Alligator mississippiensis: one gene and its partner. The protein of the gene in region 1 binds, or shares a complex with, the protein of each later gene. Links are inferred from orthologs where the notes say so. Each region holds a gene or a part of one and is shown in the gene's direction. Other genes may lie near its edges.

Region 1 (10,197 bases):
CTAACCTACCAGGCTTCACTCCTCTCCCAGACCTGGGATGGAATCCAGGTGTCCTGACTTTCAGCACACTCTGCTCTATCTGAGAAGAAATGTCTTGGGGGCAGAAGATAGGGCTGGATGGACCTGTGGGGCTGTCCTGGGGTGGGGTGCTGGGTGGATGGGCCCATCTAATTCACAGTAAATAGGCCCTGGCCACGGGTGGATGGCATTTCTAATCAGCAGGGATTTGGAGGCACATGGGGAAGATCCTCACTTAATACAGAGGGGGCAGGGGAAAACAGACCAGAGCCAGAGATATAGCCATCTCTGGGTCAGGGTGTATTGGGGGCTGTGTTTATAGGGAACTTTTTCCCCAATGCTGAGATGCAGCCACTTCTGGGGTGCAGCACTGCACTTTATAAAGGGCAAGAGAAGGATCTGAGAACAGAAACTAGACCCAATCCTGCCTCCAGCTGAATCTGCAAGGAGGACTGAAGGACTCCAAGGGCCATTGGCTTGGATTAGACCAGGACACCAGGGTTCTTTCCCTAGTCTCTGTAGAAAGAACAGGGGATCTTCGGAGATCAGAGAGGTGGGATATTGTCCAATAGGATAAGGGATCCAGGACACGGTGATCCCTACCATTGCCCAGGGACCAGTACTTGAGATGGGAGGTACCCCCTGTTGGATTTCTTCCCTCAGCAGGATGCCCCCACAACCCCCCTACTATGCTGCCTGCAACCTGGCATCCCTAGCATCCTCTACCCACTCCCCAAAGCACAGTGCCCCCCTTCTCAACAGCTTGGCACCTCTAAGCATCCCCTGCCCTTTTCCCTACCCCACAGTACCTCCTCCCAGCTCCCCTAGCACAGCAGCCTGAGCCCTCCCAGGCACCAGGCCTGAGCCCAGGTCCCCACCCAGCCCTGTACCATGAGGAAGCTGCCTGGCGCCTGGCCCTCAGCAGTTTGGCCACAAGACTTTTCCTGCTGCAAACCAAGGCTTCTTTGAAAGGGAAAACAACCAGCCATTGATTCCACAGAGCTGGGCGGGTGGGCTTCAGGATGGGGCAAACTGACTCCCTCCAGGGGGGGCTCCAGCCCCATCTACTTGGGGGGTGGGGGGCACTGTCTGGCTGAGGGGGTGGGGATGGGACAGGGACCTGTCCCTTCTAGGGGGTGCCCGTCTCTGGCCACGTGTATGGTGTCCACATTTCCAGTTGTTCTGCCCAAGGGCTGTAATTGTGGCAGGGAGGGCAGGGTTTGGACAGGGCAGGGATAAGCTGGGGCTGGCTCTCTGAGCTGGGGTGGGAGCAGTGTCTCTGCTGGGGGGTGTGCTATGCTCTGTGCTGTGGGTTTGGGTCTCTGCACTGAGAAGTGGGGGTGCTCTCTTTGTGCTGGCACCAGCTGTGGCTTTATGGAGGTACAGATGCCTCCCAGACGGTGAGGGGGGGACAGCAGCCACCTAGCAGTGGTTTAGGGTGTGTGTGGGGGAGGAACGGATTTTTCTCTCCCCTTTCCCAAAAGCAGCGGGAGAGGGAAGCACCCAGCACCCTACGATCCCCCTTAGCACCTCCCCCTGTGCAAGTAGAGCCAAACTTTGAGACTTTGCAAAAGCACATTCCTCCCTCCCTGACAGACAGACAGATATCCCCATACCCACCCAGACTAAAAGACAGGCACCCCCCACCCTGGGGACTGCAAGGGGCAGCAGCAGGGAGCAGGGTACCTGGGCAGGTCTGGGCACTCCTCTGAGACGCAGGCTGTGTCGCTCCCTCTCTTCTCCCTTCCCCTGTCTCTGCGTCTGTGCCTGAATAAATAGTAACTCCCCCCACACCCCTGGCAGCAGCCCCAGGAGGGAGGGGCCAGATGAGGATGTCCTGTGTCTGCTGGCTGGGGGGCTGGAACATGGGGCCCCCACCCCGAGAGAACACCCTCCCCAGCTGGCACCACATGGAGAGCACTGAGTCCCTGCCCTTGTTGTGTGTCTCCCCACTAGCCCTCCACCCTCTGTCCCCCTCAGACCATTGCATTGCAGGCACTGCCAGCCCGGGATTCCCTGGCATTGCAGGCTTCCCCACAGATTGGCCCAGACTGGGACCTTGGTTCCTTTCCCAATTTTGGGAGAGGAATGAAGTCTGGTGGGTCATAGCAGGAAGGCTGGCAGCCAGAACTCCTAGGTCCTATCCCAGCTCTAGAAGGACAGAGGTGCCTGGTGATAACAAGCAGGGGGGAGAGCCTGAGGTCCATTCCAGCTGTGGGAAGGGAATGAGGGTCTGGTGTGCTGGAGTGGGGGTACCTGGGTTTTGTCCCAGCTCTGGGGGAGGAGTGGGGTCTGGTAGAGGGTGCAGGGAGCTAGGATTCCTGGGTTCCATCTCAGTTCTGGGAAAGGGAGTGAATGTCTGGTGTGCTGGAGCAGAGAGGCTGGGGGCCAGGACTCCTGGGTTCTGTTGCAGTTTGAGGGGCAGCAGGTTGTAGTCTTGTGGATTACCATACTGCTAGGACTCCTGGGATCTCTCCCAGTTCTGGGAAGGGACAGTAATTGGCCACCTACTCAGAAGACAACTGGGTGCTGGTAGTTTAGGACCCCCCAAGACTGAGAATACTTGTCACTGATTGGGGAAGAGCTTTGGAAAAGTGGGGAATATTCAGTTGTCTTCCTGCCTAGAGCGGGGTGCTGAACCCGATGATCTGTGAGGTCCCTTCCAGCCCCTAACAATCTATGAATCTATGAAAAGAGAATCTGGACATTATAAATCCTTCAAATAATTTTGCATCCTTTTGGTATAACACTATAGACTGAAATTGTATATATGTTGGTTGAGGTTGTGGGGGAGGGGTGCACCTCCTCCCTGACTGGCAGAATGAGGCTTGGACCACAACACAGTCCCTGATTGGCTGAATGCTTTGGAACCTTGAATGGGGTGGGTAATTTAGCATTTAATTTGCTGACAAGTTGGAACGTTGAAAATCATTATCTAGGGGGATGTAGCTCAACCTGAGACTGGTTGACAGGGAGGCCAAGTTGGTTGTTCCCTTGGTCTTAAAATAGGACATGTGGTCTTCAAGCCATGGCTTTATGTTCCCCAGCACCAGCAGGAACCTCCAGGTGATGGCTGGGAGGGCGAGCTGCACTCCCATCTGGGGCTCCTCCCTGCCCTTTGCAGGTTTCAAAGCCACCAGCTTCCTTCCACCACTTGGCATATGTATGTGTATGGGGTTCTCCCTAGAGAAATACACCTCATCCCTCTTCAGCAGTTGTTTCCGCCAGGGCCTCTGACTTCCTCTCCTATTTTTGACAAGTCTAAAAAGACAGCCCCTACCCTACAGTCTCCCCAGTTCCTCTAGCAAACTCAGGGCACCAGGGCAGGGAGTTGGGGTGGAGTTCACTGGAGGTAGGAAGGGGCTGGTGGCATTTACTCTCTACATCATGCTTTTTTCAGAAGCTTATAAAGGAGCCACAGGAAACTGCGAGGGGCTAGGGGAGACCCTGGGGAATGTGGGGGCAAGAGGAGAGTGGACCCTAGGACAGATCCCACTGGGTCACCCCAACTTCATAGTTTCATAGTAGCTAGGGTCAGGAGGGACCTGAACAGATCATCTAGCCTGACCCCCTGCCACAGGTAGGAATGAATGCTGGGTTCAAAAGACCCCAGACAGGTGGTCGTCCAACCTCCTCTTGAATATGCCCAAGGTAGGGGCGAAGACCACCTCCCTGGGAAGTTGGTTCCAGATTTTGGCCACCCTAACTGTAAAATATTGCCTTCTGAAAGTGGCAAGGGGCTACTTCAAAGTGTAGCCCCAGAATCCTGGCTGTTCCAGGGAGCTCCCCAGAATGTCTGCCTCTTCCACAGACCTCAAATTGCACCCCTTTAGTGTTGCCCTCCAGGATGCAAAGAGAGCATTAGTCTTAGCTGTTGAACCCCCAAAGACTCTCCAAGCTCTCAAACTCAAGAGAGCCCCCCCCAACACTTCAGGCCCTGTCTGAGCAGGTGCCTCTCCAACCAAACTATCCTTCCCACCTTCCACACTCATTCAGCTGCTCCTCAAAACAACCCCCCCAAAAAAACTACCCCAAACCAGTGCTATGAAGCCAATGGCTGGAGGTTTCACACCATGGCAAAGGAAGAAAACTTCCCATTTTGAATGGAAACCCCAAAGCTCACAACATGACACCTTAGTGGAGTGTCTGATGGGAAGGGCTGGGGTGGACAGGAGTCTCTTGAGCCAGACAGGGATCTCCACTCCTGCTCACCCAGCTGGGGTGAGGAGGCTCTCACTTCCCACCTCTAGAGACACCCAGAAGCAGAAATACAAGAGAAGGAAGTTCCTCCTTGTGGCTGGGGAGAGGTTGCAGCAAGGGAGGGCTGGGAGCCAGGACACCCCAGTTCCACCTCAGCTCTGGGCAGGGAGTGGGGTCTGGTGGGTTGTTAGATCAAGGGAGATGGGGAGCCAGGATGCCCGGGTTCTATCCCCCTGGGTCAGTCTCTTAGCATCCTAGCAGGAGGCTGATGGAAGGGGGCTTCTCACTTGGCAACACCAGGCAGAGCGGTGTAGTGCAGGCCCTCTGAAACCGCACATCCAGCAGTCCCAGCTCAGGCCCGGGGGGGGGGGCAGGGCGGAGACGGGAGGAAGTATCGCTTTCCGCTCCCCGGAAACCCCTGCCCACTCAGATGCCTGGTGCCCTGGCAACTGTTGTGATGGTACAAACAGACGGGGGCAAGGGGGGGGGTCGGCTGTGGTTTGGCAGCTTTCTGGGCCGGACTGTGGTGTGCCGGGGTAGTCCGGCCTCTGACTCACGTGGCTGCAGACCGCCCACAAGGCTTCGTGGGGCACTGCATGCAAATGAGCTGCCCCCGGTCCCGCCCCGGGCACCCAGCCGACCCCTCCCCGCGCCCGGGAATCCCTGAGCAGCCTCCTGCATCTCCTACCCAGCACAGCCAGGCGGGGTGATGCGCATGCGTAATTCGCGCTCCTAAAGGGAGGAAGTGGAAGCAAATGGCGGGAGAAGCAAGGGGCGGGGCCTGTGCGTGGGCGGGGCTTTGGCGAAGGGAGGGGAAGGAGCTGTTGGCCTGGCGCATGGGTATTGTCACGCCTGGGTCCTGATTAGGAGGGATGGAGGTTCCCCCTCCCCAACAGGAGATCACAGTTGGCCTCATCGGGCCTGAGCTGGTGAGATTTCCCTCCTCTCCCCCCGCATGGGGCTGGGCAAGACCTGCTGTAGTCTTGATGTGACCTGCCATAGCCTTGGCATGACCTGCTGTGCTGTGGCCATGCTGTGTCCTGGGGTGGACACTGCCACTCTGTGGCCCAGGGGACCTGTGCTGGGCTTGCTGTGACTCTCTGGGCCATGTGCTGACCCAGGGGGGCTGCAGTGTCCCCCAGCTTGCTGGGGTCCTGTGACTTGGCATCTTCCTGTGGCATCTTGCCTAGATGTGGTCCCATGGGGCTGTGGTGTGATCTGACCTAATGGGCTGTTGGTGTGAAGAGGTCTGAAATGGTTGTGGCACAAGCTACTGTGGCTTGGGGATGTGATGGGACTGGAGCCACCCAAAGTGGTTTGCACATTATTAGGTCTTGGCATGAGCAGATGCGTGGTCATTACCCTTGGCTTTATGGTGCAGGCATGTGACGGGGCCTTGGCATGATCTGGTGGGGCCTTGGAGTGGTCTAATGCTGCAGACTTGTGATGGGGCCTTGGCATGACTGGTGGTGCCAGCTGAACTGAACCTTCCTCCCTGCTTTGAGCAGTGATGGTGCTGCTTGTCCGGACAGAGTGGCCCCTACCTGGCTGCGATGCCCTTTGGGATGAGGGTAGGGTTATGGCCATGCTTGGGCAGCACATTCCCTTACCCCACACTGCAGTCCCCATCTCGTCCCCCCTCCCCACCCCCCGTCATCTGCACCAGAGCTGGGGTGTCCAGTGAGGGGGTGGCATGGGAGTGTGGGACTGAAGGAGGTTCGGGGGGAGGAATTTGGTTGGGACTGAGAGTAGGGGTAGAGGCTGAGGGTTACATGGGTGGAAGGTATATGGATGGATGAGGTTGGAGTGGGGAAGGGGAGAAGAGAGGTCATGGGGGGGGGGGCTAGGGATGGACTGAAGGGGGTGATGGGAACTATGGAGGCATGGGAGAGGAGTGGGGGGTGGGCAGCCAGGGGGGAGTGGCATTGGAGGGTTGTTGGGGTGGGGGGGAAGGGAGGGGAGTTATGGGGGGAAGGGAGGGGGTAGTGGGAGGGGTGTTCAGCCCACATGCATTCTCCCCTGCCTGGCTCCGCCCCCAGGCTCCATCCAGCTCCTCCATAGGCTGAGATACTTTAACTTCCTGGAGACTGTAACTAACAACTGAGTTGGAGGCGGGTTGGAGGAGTGAGTGATGCAGAGACAGGGAGCAAGTGCCAGAGTCCCCTGCACCCTTTGGAGGCTGTGACCTCCCCCTCCCTCTGCCTGTGCCTGCTTGCGGCCTTCAAGGACCATCCAGAGGAGACCCAGGTATCCCCTGCTCCAGGTTCCTGGGAGGGCAGGGTTAGGAAGGGCTGAGAACAGGATTGCCCCATACCCACCCTGAGCTGACACCTTCTCCCTAAACTAGCCCCTTTGACTCACACCAAATCCCCAGCCCTCTCCAGAAATCACCCTCTCCCCAAAACAGCCCCCCAGCTTTCCTACCACCCTGATCTGCAAGCACCGTGTGAACCAGCTGTTATTTTGCCCCAGTTTCACCCCCAATGCTTCCCCTTCCCTCAGCCCAGCCCAGCTCCTTTAGCTTCTGTATTAAGTTCAAGGGCACAGCTCCCTGGGAGCACAGGGCTTGTGAGAGGGGTTGTTTTTACCTACTGTGCTGTGTCCCAGAAGCAGCCACCCTCTGAGGCAGTGTAGAGAGCTCCAGTGTCAAACCAGACGCCTCTGCTTGTCTGCCCCACATGTGATGCCCTGTGCTGCGTGGAGCACCCTGATATAAACCCCCGTTAAGCTGCCCTTAATGAGACCAGCAGCCTGGGAATAACTCCACAGTGCCCAGTTAATCTCTGTCTCCCTTTTTTGTGCCCCAACATCAGCAAGGAGGAGAAGATGCCGCTGCACCGCTCTGCCTTGAGCAACCGCTCTGACAGCAGTGACTTGGACCTGGATGGCATTGGTAATGGCTTTGCCGCAGGACCTCTATTGGGCCCTGTCCTGTCACATCCTGGTCCTAGGGACATGGTGCCCCATCTCTTAATTCTCAGCCCCTGAGGGCCTCTGCACACCACTACCCCTTTCCATGCTCCTCCCAGCTGGCCCCAGACAACCCCAAGATTTTAATTTGGCAGCCAGCCCTTGCCTCATAGGCCATGGGGTACCCGTACATAACCTCACCACACCAAGGCACCCCATATCCATACCCCCAGCAGGACAGACTGCCCTGCATTATGTCTTGGATCCACACCTACTCCCCCTAGGTCTGTGGCAATCACCTGGGTCAGGGGCAGTTCCTTAGCACCCTTAGGTGGGTATTGTGTCCCTTGCCAGGTCCCCGGGGTGGTCAGAGTGGGAGAAGGGCTTCCAGAGCCTGGTGGGAACAGCTTGGGGGTGGAAGAATATCTGGTGGGAGGAGTCAGGGAATGTTGTGGGGGCAGCACCTTGATAGAATATCTTGGGGTCTGGGCATAAGGTGTTTGCGTCATGGCAGGTATCATCTTGTGATGTCATGGGCCCATGTTGTGATCTCATGGGATCTTGGCATGACATCCTGGAGCCTTGGCATGAGGAAGTTATGCAGTGGCAGACAGGGCCTTGTATAATGTCATGGGATTTTAATGTGCCGTCATGTGGGTTGCCTGTGAGAAGGTTAGCATGTGGAAGGCATGGCCTTGGTTTGATGTCATGTGGCCACAGTGGGCCTTGGCATATCATGGGTCTTGTGTATGAGGATTTGGGCCATGATAGGTCAGGGCCTTGGTGTGATATCATGGGGTCTTGGCATGACATCATATGGCTGGGCTGCAAGGAAGTTGGGCCACATTTTGGATGTGTGGGAGGGGCTGGGCCATGGCAGGCAGGACTGTGGCTAGAGCCCTTCTCTGATGCCCCTCTCCCTGTGGCTTTTCCTGGCCCTTCAGCTGAGAGCGAGCTGGCCAAGCTACAACGCCAGTTCCGCCTGCTAGAGGGTGACCGCCGTGCCTATGCCCAGGAGTCGCAGGAGACCATCCGCAGGCAGCTGTATGTACCCCTGGGTGGGAGGGGCCCAGTACCATACCTGCAGGATCAGGTGCACAGGACATACACATGCACACACACACTGTGCCTCCCATATGCTGGGCAGCACAGATACACTCCCCCCTAGAATGCTGATATATCACTGACATCACGCACATTCCCCTAGCAACTCACCTGGAACCAGCCCTCTACACCAGGCTGGGTCACTGCACTGCACTGCACTGCACATAGGCACTTACACACACACACACGCACACACACCATCACACTTACACACCCAGAAGGTCACACAAACTCACGTGAGATCTTTCACATAAGATCTGCTGCTCACATACCCTCACCAGGTCTCATGCATCAGTCTGCACGCTTACCTGCAGGCTCACGACCAGGATCTTTCACACACAAGACTATAGGGACATCAGGTGCACACAACCTCCCATGCACTTGCACTCACAAGACTGCATGCTCAGATTCATGCATGAGGTCACATGCACAAAATCTTGCGAACACTCAGTGACAGGCCTGTGACACACAAGATCCCACACTTGTGCACAAGATCACATCTGAGATCTTGTACTCACATGCAGGATTGTATATGCACAAGGCTCCCCACACCCACTCAGCCACAAGACCATAGATGCACAACAATTTGCAATCTCGTAAGACTGCATACACACAGAAGCGCACACACAGGCACACTTGCACAAGATCACCCACACGCTTGATGTGGGATCTCTGATGCACAAGTCACACTTGTATACAAGACTGCACACATGAGATCACACTCATAAGATTACATGTGCATGAGATCACTTGGACTCAAGATCCAAAGCCCACCAAATCTCACCCTTGTGAATAAGCTCACATTCACCCACATGGGTGGTCAACTCAGGTATCTGACACATGGCATTCTGTGCCCACATGGGGACTCCATGCTCACAACTGTGCACTGAGACTTCCTTGCCTTGCTGGGCACCTGGTAGTCACAACATCCTAGATCTCAGCACAATCCACCAGTTCACTGCTGCCACACACCTAGCATCATTACTGTGCCCTCTCCTTGTCTTAGCCCTGGGTCCCCCTTCCTCTTCTCTTTCTCTCTGTCGTGCCTGGCCCTCTCCTTTTGACCTCGTCATCCACCAGTGGCACAATCTGGCACCCCCTCATATCACCAGGAGTCCCTCCCTGCCCCACTACCCCTGCCTGCCACCCATTGCAGCTGGCCAGTCCTTTGTTTTGGTCAGGGCTGAAATCCACAGGCTGGAGAAGGAGCAGGAAGGGCTGCTGAAGGAGCTGCAGCTGGCAGAGAGCAGGGCCAACCAGCTGCGGGAGCGGGCACAGGCAGGCAGCTTGCGCGCCATGCTGCAGCACAAGGACCAGACTCAGGAGCAGGTGGCCCAGGAGAGGAGGACACTGGCATGTCTGGATCTGGAGGTACCAGCTGGGCTGGGAGAGGGAGCCAGAATGCCTGGGTTCTACCCTGGTTACGGGGGAGGGTGGGGGAAGGGGCATGAGGTGTGGTGGGTTAGAGGAGTGGGGCTGGGAGCCGGGACACCTGGCTTCTATCCCAGCTCCGGATGGGAGTTGGGGTCTAGTGGATGAAAGCATAGTGGGGGAATGTGCTGCGCTGACCAGACTGGCTCTTCCTGGGCTTCTATTATCTTTCATTCCCTTGGTGATGGGATAGAAGACATCACTAGCTCTCAGGCAGCTACCAACAGTCCCCTGCATGATGCTCTGGGGCATCCCTGAGTGCTTTGGGCAGCAATACCTGGTCTCTCCCCAGTGAATGGGCAAGTGGTTGTGAGCAGTGGGACCATCCCACAGTGCACTACAGATGATTACCCAGCAGCCACTGCTGCATTCAGGGGGCACACCTGGCTGAAGTATGTGAATCTTACGGACCCTGGTGCCCGCCTTTCTGCCTGGCAGATCCAGAGCTGGGAAAAGCGGCTAGCGGAGCTGCAGAGGCATGCGGGCAGTGCTGGCATCACTGAGCGGGACAAAGCCCAGATACAGAAGAAGGTG
Region 2 (11,048 bases), about 140 Mb from region 1:
TCGCTGCTGCTCCCGCCACCAGTCTGAAAGGACATTGGAGGGGCGGGGGGTATGCCTCCAGATCTGCATGGGACAGGCAGGGCCAAGGCTGCACCAGGCTGCACTCTGAGTGAAAGGCAGAAGGCATTGAGAGCCTGGGCTATGCCCTCCTGCCACTTGCGTAGCTGGGGTGGGACAGAGCCATTGCATTGCCTATGGACAAGCAGTGCACAGTGGCCAGAGCCACCCCGGCCCCCCTGTGCCTCCCGGACAAACTGCAGCTTTGCCTTGCCCCTACTGGGCATGCGGGGGTGTGCCCCTGGATTTGGGCGTGGCAAGCAAGGTTTATGGGGGGGCTGCAGGCATCCTAAAATTCACCATAGCCCTGGCCCTGCGCAGTTCCAGGGGCACAAGCACCCCAGTGTCCTGCCACCACTGTCCCTGCCAGGGTGGGGCAGGACCAGGAGGCAGGGGGATCCCAGGACGGCTCCAGCTGCTGCGCACCACTTGTTCGGTGGCAGTGCAGTGGCTCTGCCCTGCCCCAGCTGGGTGAGCAGCAGGAGGACACAGCTGGCCCAGAGCACAGCCCCAGCCCTGCCTGCACCACACAGATCTGGGGCCATATGCCCCCCCAAGCCCTCCCAGACGGGCAACACACAGTGGCAGGAGCCATCTCACCCCCTCCCTGTGCGCCCCCCCCCCCCCCACTAGGGCAGCCCCTATCCCAGCCCCAATCCCTCTTTCTCTGTGGGAGCATTGATCTGCCCCACCCACGCCTCACCACAACAGACTTACCAGCTGGAGGCAGCTGTGTCCAGTATCGTAAAGTCAAAACCCTGGGGGGACCTTGAAACTGTTGTAATTTACAACGGTCGTAGGTGCCATTTGTCATAACTCAAACAGTCATAAGTCTAGGACTGCCTGTATAGCATACATTAGGTTACTATCATAGATTCATAGATGCTAGGGTCGGAAGGGACCTCAATAGATCGAGTCCAACCCCCAAGATATTGAAGAGTATCGGTCCAAGGACCGAGCCCTGCGGGACTCCACTGCCCACACTCTTCTGGGTCGATACCGACCCATCCACTACGACTCTCTAGGTGCAACCCTCTAGCCAATTTGCCACCCACTGGACTGTGTAGTCATCTAAGTCACAGCCTCTTAACTTGTTTACCAGTATGGTGTGGGATACCGTATCGAAGGCCTTCCTGAAGTCTAAGTATACAACATCAACCCCTACTCCTGCGTCCAGGCATTTTATAACCTGGTCATAAAAAGAGATTAGATTAGTCAGGCATGATCTACCTGCTACTAACCCGTGCTGGTTTCCACTCAGCATAATTTGTCCTGCCGGGCTCTCACAAATGTGAGCCTTGATAATTTTTTTTAAGACTTTGCCTAGGATGGAGGTGAGACTGATTGGCCTATAGTTGCCTGGGTCCTCCTTCCTCCCCTTCTTGAAAATGGGGACCACATTGGCCCTTTTCCAGTCCTCCGGGACCTGGCCCATGCGCCACGAATGTTCAAATATTACCACCAGTGGCTGTGCAATGACGTCAGCCAGTGCCTTCAGTACCCTCGGATGGAGCTCATCCGGGCCTGCCGACTTAAAGGCAACCAGTTCCTCCAAGTGACTCTGCACCATCTCAGGGTCTACGCATGGCAGTCTGGTATCCGTAAGCTATGTATCAATGTAGCTTAACATATTCATCGTTCTTATTGCATAACATAGGACCTGGTCTTGTATGCCTCACTCAGGCAGAATTTCATTAGGAATTCTTCCTAAGTACAGGAGGATTGTTCACTTAACGTTGTATATTATGGTGCTGAGAACACTAACATCAGGGTCTGACCCTGCTGCCTTTGCTTTAGCAACTGTGTTTTTTTTGTCTGAGTTTGTTACCACAAATTAAGGTGCAAATATTGGAAGTCAAAACCTAATACAGTTTAACTGAGTTTGTCATAAACAGAAAATCAGCTGAAATGTAATTAATGAATAAATAGATAATTGTGGTAACATAGGGCTTCTTTTCCACTCTCGCATATGTGAGATGCCATTGTTTCTCAAGTGGTTAGTTTATTGATTTCTCAAATTCATGAAGCATTACTGTGACTTACAAGATAAGGAAGCAAATGGTACTGGCTATTTCACACCTCTTGGGAAATCAGAATGAGCTAAATTTGAAAACAATAATATTCCATCTTTTTGTAATGCTTTGCATTGTCTTTTCCTGCTTTGTAATGTTATTGTATCATTGATATTTAGATTTTTATAGTAATCTTATTGTAAATGATTTTGTATTAAACTCCATAAATGCACCTGCACCTCTTCATTACATTATTTTTTAAATTGACTTTAACTCATAAAATAACTTCCATTATTTAACTGTTTTTAAGGATAAAATGAAAAAGAGAAAGAAGCACAAGAAACATGGTAAAAAGAAGAAAAAGAAGACTGCTGGTTCAAATTCAGATTCTGAATAACATTTAGAAGTACAAGAATACCCTTTCAACAAAAGTGCAATGACTAAAGGAAACTTCAACTGTGAAATTATAGCAAACTTTACCAAACTGCATGAATTTTCCTGTGTTTTAGAAATACTCCTAATCTCTCAATAGCCGGACAGATGCTGCTGCACCAGAAAAGAACATTGTTATTGCCTGCTGCTTAATACATGGGGTACAGCATTTTTTTAATTCCAGTAGCCAGCGCTAGATATTTGAAATCATAAAAGATGATGGTTCAGCTGATATGTAAAATATTGGAAAATAAGTGAAACTTTTTAGATACAAAAAGTAGTATTTTAAACTCTAATTTTTAAACCAGCAGAAGCATAATCCAGGATTCATCCTGAAGATGAATTTAATTCAATGGAGCTGTTGAAAGTTAGTGACTGATGTTTCTTTTGAAATGGGAATATAATGGTAACATTCTTAAACATGTTACTTTTGTAGAAATGTTTACTGTACTTCTGTCCTTTTACTTTTTTATGTTGAGGGGGGAGCTACTATTTTGACTAGTTGAATAGGGTGCCTTTGATCTTTCTAAATCCCAGCTATTTTAATCAGTACAGCAACTATGCTTCCTCGGGAGGTCAGAACTACTGTCAGCAAGCTGTTCCTGAATAAGCAATTCTGGGCTTCTAGCATGTGCTTCGGCATTAAGCAAGAGCAGTGACATTTTGCAGCATAACTAACATGCAAAAATCAAGGAATTTACCTCCACTTTGAATTATGCTGAATACTGTGTTACTAAATATGCATTACATCATTTAAAGTAATTTTGAATTTTGTTGAATATCTTTGGCAAACACTGGTAGTTTTTTTTCTTTTTGCCTTGCCATTAAGATACTTAGAATTATTTTGCATGTTTGTACCATTTTTTTTTAAATTAACAATATAGAGGTATTCAGTTATAACCAGTGATTATTTTTTTATGAATTTGTTCCAGGTGCAGAGTTTCATGTATGTATTTACTTATTCTTATAGTTCATTGTTGTGTTTGAGTGCACACTTGCTGAAAATTATTTAGCATGTAAAAAGCAGGGTTTTGATATTTAAACAGCTTCATATTGAAGCTGATTTTACTCTAGGCAAGTTCAGTGACAGACCTGTTATGCAGCTGTGTCTTGTTATATACAACTACTGCCAGATTCTCAGTAAAGATACCATTTAAAAATTTTGTCTTTATATTTTTGTGCTGCAGAATTGTAGGGTATTAACATAAATTGTCTAGGCTAATTTACTTGCATTAGCAGCTATTTCATAAACAAATAGAAAAATGTTGATAAAATAGCAAATACACACTCAAAATCCAAAAGGAATCCTTAGGTTTTCTTCTTATAGATGAAGTTCTTTCTCTCTTTCAGTGAAGTCCCTATTGCTGGTTCTGTTCTTGCCTTTCAAGAGTAGGAAAAAATGTGAATAATGATCCACATATTACCCTAAGTACAAATGGTATGTACTAACCATGAAAAGTTTAATACTTTAAAGCCAAACATTTAATTACCACAACATTTTAATATCTCTTGTTAAATGATTAATAATTTGCAATTCATAAACAAAAAGTGGTGAGGGAGACTGGGAAGGAGTAATATTTTACTAGTGTTCTGTCAAATACATTTCTCTTCAAGCAGGTGATTGAAATGTTCTGGTTTTGTCTTAAAATGCAGACTATCACTGTTAATAATGTCTTAGAAATAAAATTATAGTCAGCTAGGTTTGAAAACTGACAATTTCTACAACTATTAGGTCATTATTGGGAAAGAATTCAAAGAATGGTAGAATGATCATTTTATTTCTCTTTTTTTTAAATCACTGGTTTAAATCAGCTTTGAGGCTTTGAAAAACTATTGTGAAAATTGTGCTATTACAACTTTGAATTAATTACATTATAAATACTGCAAATGGAAAGATCATATTTGAATTTTACACAACTGCTAGAGGCAAAAAATATGTATCATTGAAAACAAGTGTGCAGATGCTACCAACACATAAGCAAATACATAATGTTACTCATACAAATAGTCTCATTTACTTAAGCTTCCTAGACGTGTGCTTTCAATACAGCATGGACAAAAATGTTTGCAGCATCAAGGTCTTATATTGTATATATTAATTAAAAAAATTTAGTGGCATAAAATTGTTGTCACTTCAAAACCAAATTGCTTTAGTATTTAACACTGAAAAACTCTGATTTTTTTTTTGTCCATAAATAAATCTATTGTGAGCTACATGCGCACACACGGATATGTGTGTATGTGTACAATAATATGTGTGTGTATTAAAATATCCTCCCCGCCTCCCAAAATATAGGACCTAACATTTGGTTACTAAGAGTGAAATTTCTGATTTCTGTCTCATCTTTGCTCATTACATCAGGAGGGTCACGTTTGCAAAAACAGCCAAGACTACTTTTCTTTATTAATTTTGTGCTCAATTTTTGTTCTTCTCCCAGCCAGAATGCTAATGAGGCCAGCATAGATGAACATTTTAACTGAATTTTTAGCAGATAAAAAAAAATCTGAAATTGTACTAGAAATTAGAAAAATAATTTAAGGGTCAAGACAAAAAGACTATAGAATAAAAGAAAGTAAAATGTTATGCTTGTTTAAAATATTTTAAGTGTGTTTTTTATCCAACTTGCTTCAAGAAGTAATAAGGTAGTAATTTATAAAGTATTTTAATAAATGGCTAGCTTTATGGGTTTCCAAAAATACTCTTAGAATTTTGAAACTAAATTATTGCCTTTGCTCAGTTTTGTCCTTTTACATGTGATAAAGATGTGTTTTGTTCTGAACACGAATCTGTTGCCTTCTCATACACAGTAGCATTCTTGATGGCTCATTTCTAAAAAGACTCAGAGATCTCAACACTGGTTGAATCAGTACGTATTAAAAGTTCCTTATCCATTAAAGTAATTCCTTTTAAGTGTGGCTCTGGTAACAGTATTTTCAGTTAATGTATGCTGTTCCTGCTGTCTACCTGTGAAACAACATGAGGAATAAGTTCGTTATGCCCTGCATATTTTTTTTTCTTTGGAAAGAGGTATGGTTCGTCATGTTTAGGCCAAAAGGCAGAGCAGGGTCGTACTTTATATATCAGGGATTCTCAACCTGGGTGCCACAATACTCTGAGGTGCTGTGGAGTCCTTTTTAAGGGTGCTGTGAGGTGTCATGTAACATTAGTACCATTAGGTGTGCAAACATGACTCAAAATAAACCAAGAGATTTCAAAAATAAATCCATAGCGTCAAAAACCTTCTTAGCTGTTGTGGTCTTTCTGAGTACTTTGCAACAGAAAAATTGTTCTATTTTTCTGTAGTCAAAATAAGTGAAAATGAAGAGGTGGCATTTTTCAAGGAGGGGCTTAACGAGGGATGCATTGAGTCTAAAAAGGTCAAACCACTACTGTTATACGCTAACTTGTTCAGAGAGGTAGAAGTTTTTGTAGGTTACAGCCTACTTGGTAATTACTAGGTAAGTTAAGCGTATACATTTAAACAGGTTAAATGATTTTGTGACATCCCTGTGTGCCTAAACCAGCTTTCCCTTGTGTGTTCTTGGATGCTAAAATAAAAATGACCTGACTATCAGAGATGCTGAATACCTGTGTAAACACATCACCTGCTACAAGAAGTTGTAAGTGTACAGACTTCTGAAAATGTATATGGGTATTTTATATACCAAACCCTAGAGTGAAGAACTTCAAATCTGTAAGCTAACCAAGACATGATGAGAGTAGTCAGTGTGTCATATATACACCGTGATTCTGCATTTTGAATGTGGGTGCCTGCCTTAGCAGAAGTCCCAGGCTATTACATTTTGAGAGTGTAGAATATTCTTTAAACAGCCTAGTCATACTGTAATACAAGTAGGAATGACAAAAAGAGGAGGTGGATGCTAGTAGTTGATCTTAGAAAGTGCTAGGCTGCTCTTTTACTCCTGCTCCGTACTGAACTCCTTCGTTTTGGAAGAACTAGCGGGCTTGTGCCTGTTGGGTTGCCACCGCTGCTTGCCTCCTACTCCGGTTTGTGCCATATTTCAGCCAGAACCTTGATCGTGGCAAAGTATTTTATTCTCGAGCAGGCCGAGCTTGGTTGAGTTGGAGGTATTAAACCTGAAGCAAGGACTTGTGAGCTACAGCTACTAATTTGCGGTGAAAACCTGGAAGACGAGAAGGGTAAGTACAGGCAAGTAACTGTCTGCAGCGGTAAATGAAGCCCGGGACTTGTCGTCGACCCCCCTTTGCAGGGCTTAGACTGGCGCCGGGGGTTGTCCCGGCTCGGATGTGTTCGGACTGTGCTGGCCGGGGCGTGGGGCACAGGGACGCGCAAAAGCGGGGCAGGGGGTGTTGAGGCTCGATAGGCCCCGAGACTCGTCCGGAACCGGCGGGAGTCCGGCTGTGTCCACCTGCCCGCGGGGCCAAACTGCGCATGCTCAAGCTTCCGGCTATTCAGCCACGTGGCCTCGGGCCCCTGCGCTTCTTGCTCGCTGATTGGCTGGTGCCATTCCCGTTGCTGCGGTAACCGCGCGGCGTCCCGCAGCAGCTGCCGGGCCCGGCGGCGCCATGAACAGGAAGAAGCTGCAGAAGCAGGCGGAGGCGCTGAACCGCAGCGCTAGGCATTGTGAGTCCCGTCCCCCGCCCCCTCCCCCTCCCAAGGGCCGCGGGGGCGGGGGCGCGTGGCTTTCCCCGGCCAGGCCGTGACCCGTGCCGCGCTGTGCCCGTGCGCAGTCCGTCGGCCCGAGGTGGAGTGTCTCATCCGGCTCTTCCACACGCTGGTGCCGGAGGCTGGCGAGCGCCGCGGCGCCGCGGGGCTGGACCGCAACGCCTTCCGCAGCGTCCTGCACCTCACCTTCGGCATGACCGACGACATGATCATGGACCGAGGTGAGGCCGCGCCCCAAGGGGGATAGGGTAGGCAGTCCCCGCCCCCGCGCCGGGCGCCCCAGCCAGCAGGTGATTTCCGGGCCGCAGCATCGGCCCGCCCCCCGACAGGGAGCCTAGGCCGGGTCCCCCCCGCCGCAGAGGCGCTGCGGGGATTCCGCTCCAGCGGCTCGAGCACGTGGGGAAACTTCAGGGTTGGGCCCCAGGGCTGCTCTGCACCAGGCGGCCTCCCTTTGTCCAGCGAGGTGGCTGGCTGAGCCGCTTCACTAGGCCACCTTGGAGAGCCTGCGGGCCAGAAAAGCTTCAGAACTGTGGTGTGTGATGCAGTCACTTAAAGCCTCTGGAGATTTCCCAGGTTGGCCTCTTCTTCTTCAGGTGTGCTCCTGCAAAAGCACTGGCTCCTGTCACCAAAGAGCTTGGATGTTTGTAGCTGAAAATGGAAAGAAGCTGCATGTAAACGGTTCCTGTAGTGGCCCAAGGATGCTGCAAATATGATTTTGGCTGGGAGGAGGTGCGGTGGTGGCAGCAGTATACGCAGCTGGAAATGTTTCTTATGACATAGGCTGCATAGTGACAAAGTGTTATAATAGTCTTTCTAGATGTCAGTTTACTGCCCTTTAAAAAGCTATGTCAGCTCTAAGGATGGCCACTTTCCTCACACAAAAGAGATGTGGAAAGGATCATGTGCAGGCGCCGTCCTACAGAAAACAGTTCATCAGAGGAAGGTGCTGAGCAGATGCTGCTGTGTTGACAATGATTCCCACCACTTCCCTAAGGAAACAGTTGATAAATGGAGTGATCGTGCTTTCTCCAGTGCTGACAGAGGTATTAGTAGAAAAGAGAGTGGTAGTGAGCTGTGTTAGTCTAAAGTCAAGCAGAAGTCAGGGTAGAGGTGCACCTTAAACTAATTAAATTGGAGATGGATAAGCATCCCTGAGCCTAAACTTCATCTGATGAAGTAACCTTAGGTCCACAAAAGGATCTTTTAATCTATTAGTAGAAAAGGCCGCTGTTGTCTCTGTAGTGGGACATGATATACACTTGTAAACAAACGTTGCTGCCCTTAGTCTTCAGCTCTGACATGCTGGAGACAGGCTGTTTGGCACTGCAGTGTCCGAACAGCTCTTCTGGAGCAGGGGTACTGAGAGCAGACTGATATGGCAGTCTTGCTGAAACAAGTTAGGTTTCTATCCTTGACAGAGAGGAGTGAAGGATAAGTGTTAATGCACTAAAGTTTACTTTCTTCCCCAAACCGTAGTGTTGAGGGTTTGGCTGCTTGGGAGGGGAGCTACTGTACTGGTATATAGGTAGAGTGACCATAGGTCCCACTTTGGCCAGGACACTCCAGGATTGTGTAGCTTGGTCCCAGATGGTTGGCCAGAAGTTCCAGGCCAGAGTCCAGCAGGGAAGTGAAGCAGCATGGTGAGCCAAGGCAGGTGGCTAGACAGCAGCAGCAGTATGGTCACCTCACATATAGGGGTTTATAGCAGGGTACTGAAGCAGCTTGAGCCTGGCGCTTCCCAACACCAAGTCACTAAGGGGAGATTTCCAAGGAGGGGGTGCCAACCTGGATCTAACTCTTCTCATCACACGGAAGTGCTAGGGAGAAGTTTCAGAGGAGAATAAAGTTGTAAAGGCAAAATTAATAGACTCTTAATTGTAGAGAGCTTTACTTTATAGCCAAAGTCATATTTTCATGTAATTTGTGTGTTTTATTTTAATTTTACTGCAACATAACAAGGGTGATGCTGTTGCTGTGACTATCTTGCAAGTAATTTTGAAGTGTTAATTAGTAAAATGAAAAGCAAAATAGAAATGCTTCATACTATCAAGGACTGCACTAATTGAAAAGTTACAAACAGCAGCTTGTTACTAGTTTGCACATGAAAGAAATACTGGTTTATGCAAGACGGGAAAGTTGCCAAAACGTACACTTGAAGAAAAAAAAGAAAAGGAAAAAAAGGTGAGCTAGATTTCCTGATTGATGTTCTCCCCTGCAGCCTAAAACAAACCATTCTAATTGAAGTCTTTGTATGCCTTTAATGCTGGCTCTTCCTTTTAGGCTGTTATGGAATATGTGATGCTTTACTAGAGTGCTGTCAAGCCAGCAAAATAATGTGTCAGATAGCAAGATAAAATGGCTATATCAGCAGGGAAGATCTAGATTTATCTTATTTGATATATTCAGGATTTTAAATCTCTTAACTAGGCCTTTGGATGACTGCCACGTATGAGCATGTAAGTTATCACTAGGCAGGCAAGCTGGGAACTTAAAATTCATCAGCTATTCTGCAGTAACAGTTTAAGCATACTCTGGTTTCATTAAATAAGCTGCTTTGCATTCACTGGGCACGTCCACACATGCAAGCACGTGCACTTGCAGCTCAAATAGAAGCAGTGCAAATTTGAGCCAGGGCTTTTTGCTTCAGCACACGTGCTGACATGCACTTTGGTGTGGAGCAAAATAACCCTGCCTGGCTCCTCCCAGATCTGCAGCCAGGGGGAGCTAGAGCCTGGGGCCAGCACCTGTGCTGTCCCCAGCAGTAAAGAAAGCTGCCCTAGCAGAAACCTGGCCCCAGCAATATATAAAGCCGCCCTGGCAAGTAGCTCAGGGCTACTCGCTGTCAGGAGCTTCTGGGGCCCAGCCAAATTGGTACCTGGAGACACTGCCCCTTGTGCCAGCTGGACTGCTGAAGCAGCCCTGAGAGTTCCCTGCACCTTTACCCACTGCAGGGGTCTAGCAGTGGGGGCTGCTGCCTGGCTGTGACCTGCTGCGTACCTGCCAGACCTGGATAGGGACTGCACAGCCAGTAGAGGCATCTGCCCCTCTGGGCTAGCTGCCAGTGGACTGTGGTTGCAGGGTTGGCCTCTGTACGGCACTACTGCCCTGTGTGCCCCTTGCCCAGCTATCTGGGCAGCTATCGCTCGGAAGATGTTCCAGGTGTGGTGGCCTGCTTTGAACTGTCAAAGCATGTCCTCCTGGCCCCATTTGTCCAGGAGGTCAGCCACAGCCAGCTGGGTCCAAGGTGCCAGCTCTGAGAAAGTGCCAGGACCCTGCTGGCCTCCCTAGCAGGAATTCTGGTGTTTCCTACTGGAAAACTGAAAAATCCCTGATAAACAAAATCCAAAAGTCACTCTGTAAAATACCCCCAAATCCACGTTCCTCCACAAGTAAAACAAAAGACCACTATAAAGAGAGAGAGAGAGAGCAAGACAGAGACAATGATCAGTTGGACAATGTTTTATTGATAGATCTACAGTGGTAAAGCAAGTCTCTTATCATAATAATAAAGTGAACTCTAAATACAGATTTCATGAATACACGTTTTGCTGCACTCCCACAAGGGGTCCAGCCCCAAACAAGTGGTTCAGCCCCCTAAAGGGGGGTTCAGCCCCCACACAAGGGGTACGCCCCCCAATGGGGCCAAATGGCCCCCCGCAGAGGCTATCACACCCCTGCAAGGCCCACATGCCCCCCCAACTGCTGCCCCCCTCAGCCCCATCCTGCACCAGTTGCTGCAGCCCCCCCAATGGCTGCCCCACCCAGCTCCACCCCCCCCAGACCTCCCAATGGCTTTCCCAGCCCCCAATTTGCACCCCCAGGCCCCCATGGCTAACCCTACAACCCCAGGCACCATCACAAAACCCCCCAAAAAAAGCCTCTGCTTACCTTTGAAGCG

What was found.
Region 2: ODAD1 (region 1) and CLXN share a complex: the UniProt entries of both Homo sapiens proteins name them as parts of the outer dynein arm-docking complex. The link is inferred for Alligator mississippiensis from reciprocal best matches to the Homo sapiens genes ODAD1 and CLXN.

The regions. Positions count from the first base shown.
Region 1 is NC_081828.1:38,585,091-38,595,287, forward strand, and holds the start of ODAD1 (outer dynein arm-docking complex subunit 1), read left to right. Parts: upstream 1-5,030; 5' UTR 5,031-5,147; intron 5,148-5,599; exon of another isoform or gene 5,600-5,789; intron 5,790-6,257; exon of another isoform or gene 6,258-6,465; intron 6,466-7,031; exon of another isoform or gene 7,032-7,044; coding exon of another isoform or gene 7,045-7,111; intron 7,112-8,072; coding exon of another isoform or gene 8,073-8,172; 5' UTR 8,173-9,072; coding exon 9,073-9,603; intron 9,604-10,101; coding exon 10,102-10,197. UniProt on the Homo sapiens protein: Component of the outer dynein arm-docking complex (ODA-DC) that mediates outer dynein arms (ODA) binding onto the doublet microtubule. Involved in mediating assembly of both ODAs and their axonemal docking complex onto ciliary microtubules.
Region 2 is NC_081828.1:175,510,315-175,521,362, forward strand, and holds the start of CLXN (calaxin), read left to right. Parts: upstream 1-7,004; 5' UTR 7,005-7,050; coding exon 7,051-7,108; intron 7,109-7,215; coding exon 7,216-7,371; intron 7,372-11,048. Other genes in the region: protein FAM133B, read left to right, coding at 2,380-2,466. UniProt on the Homo sapiens protein: Component of the outer dynein arm-docking complex (ODA-DC) that mediates outer dynein arms (ODA) binding onto the doublet microtubule. Seems to regulate the assembly of both ODAs and their axonemal docking complex onto ciliary microtubules.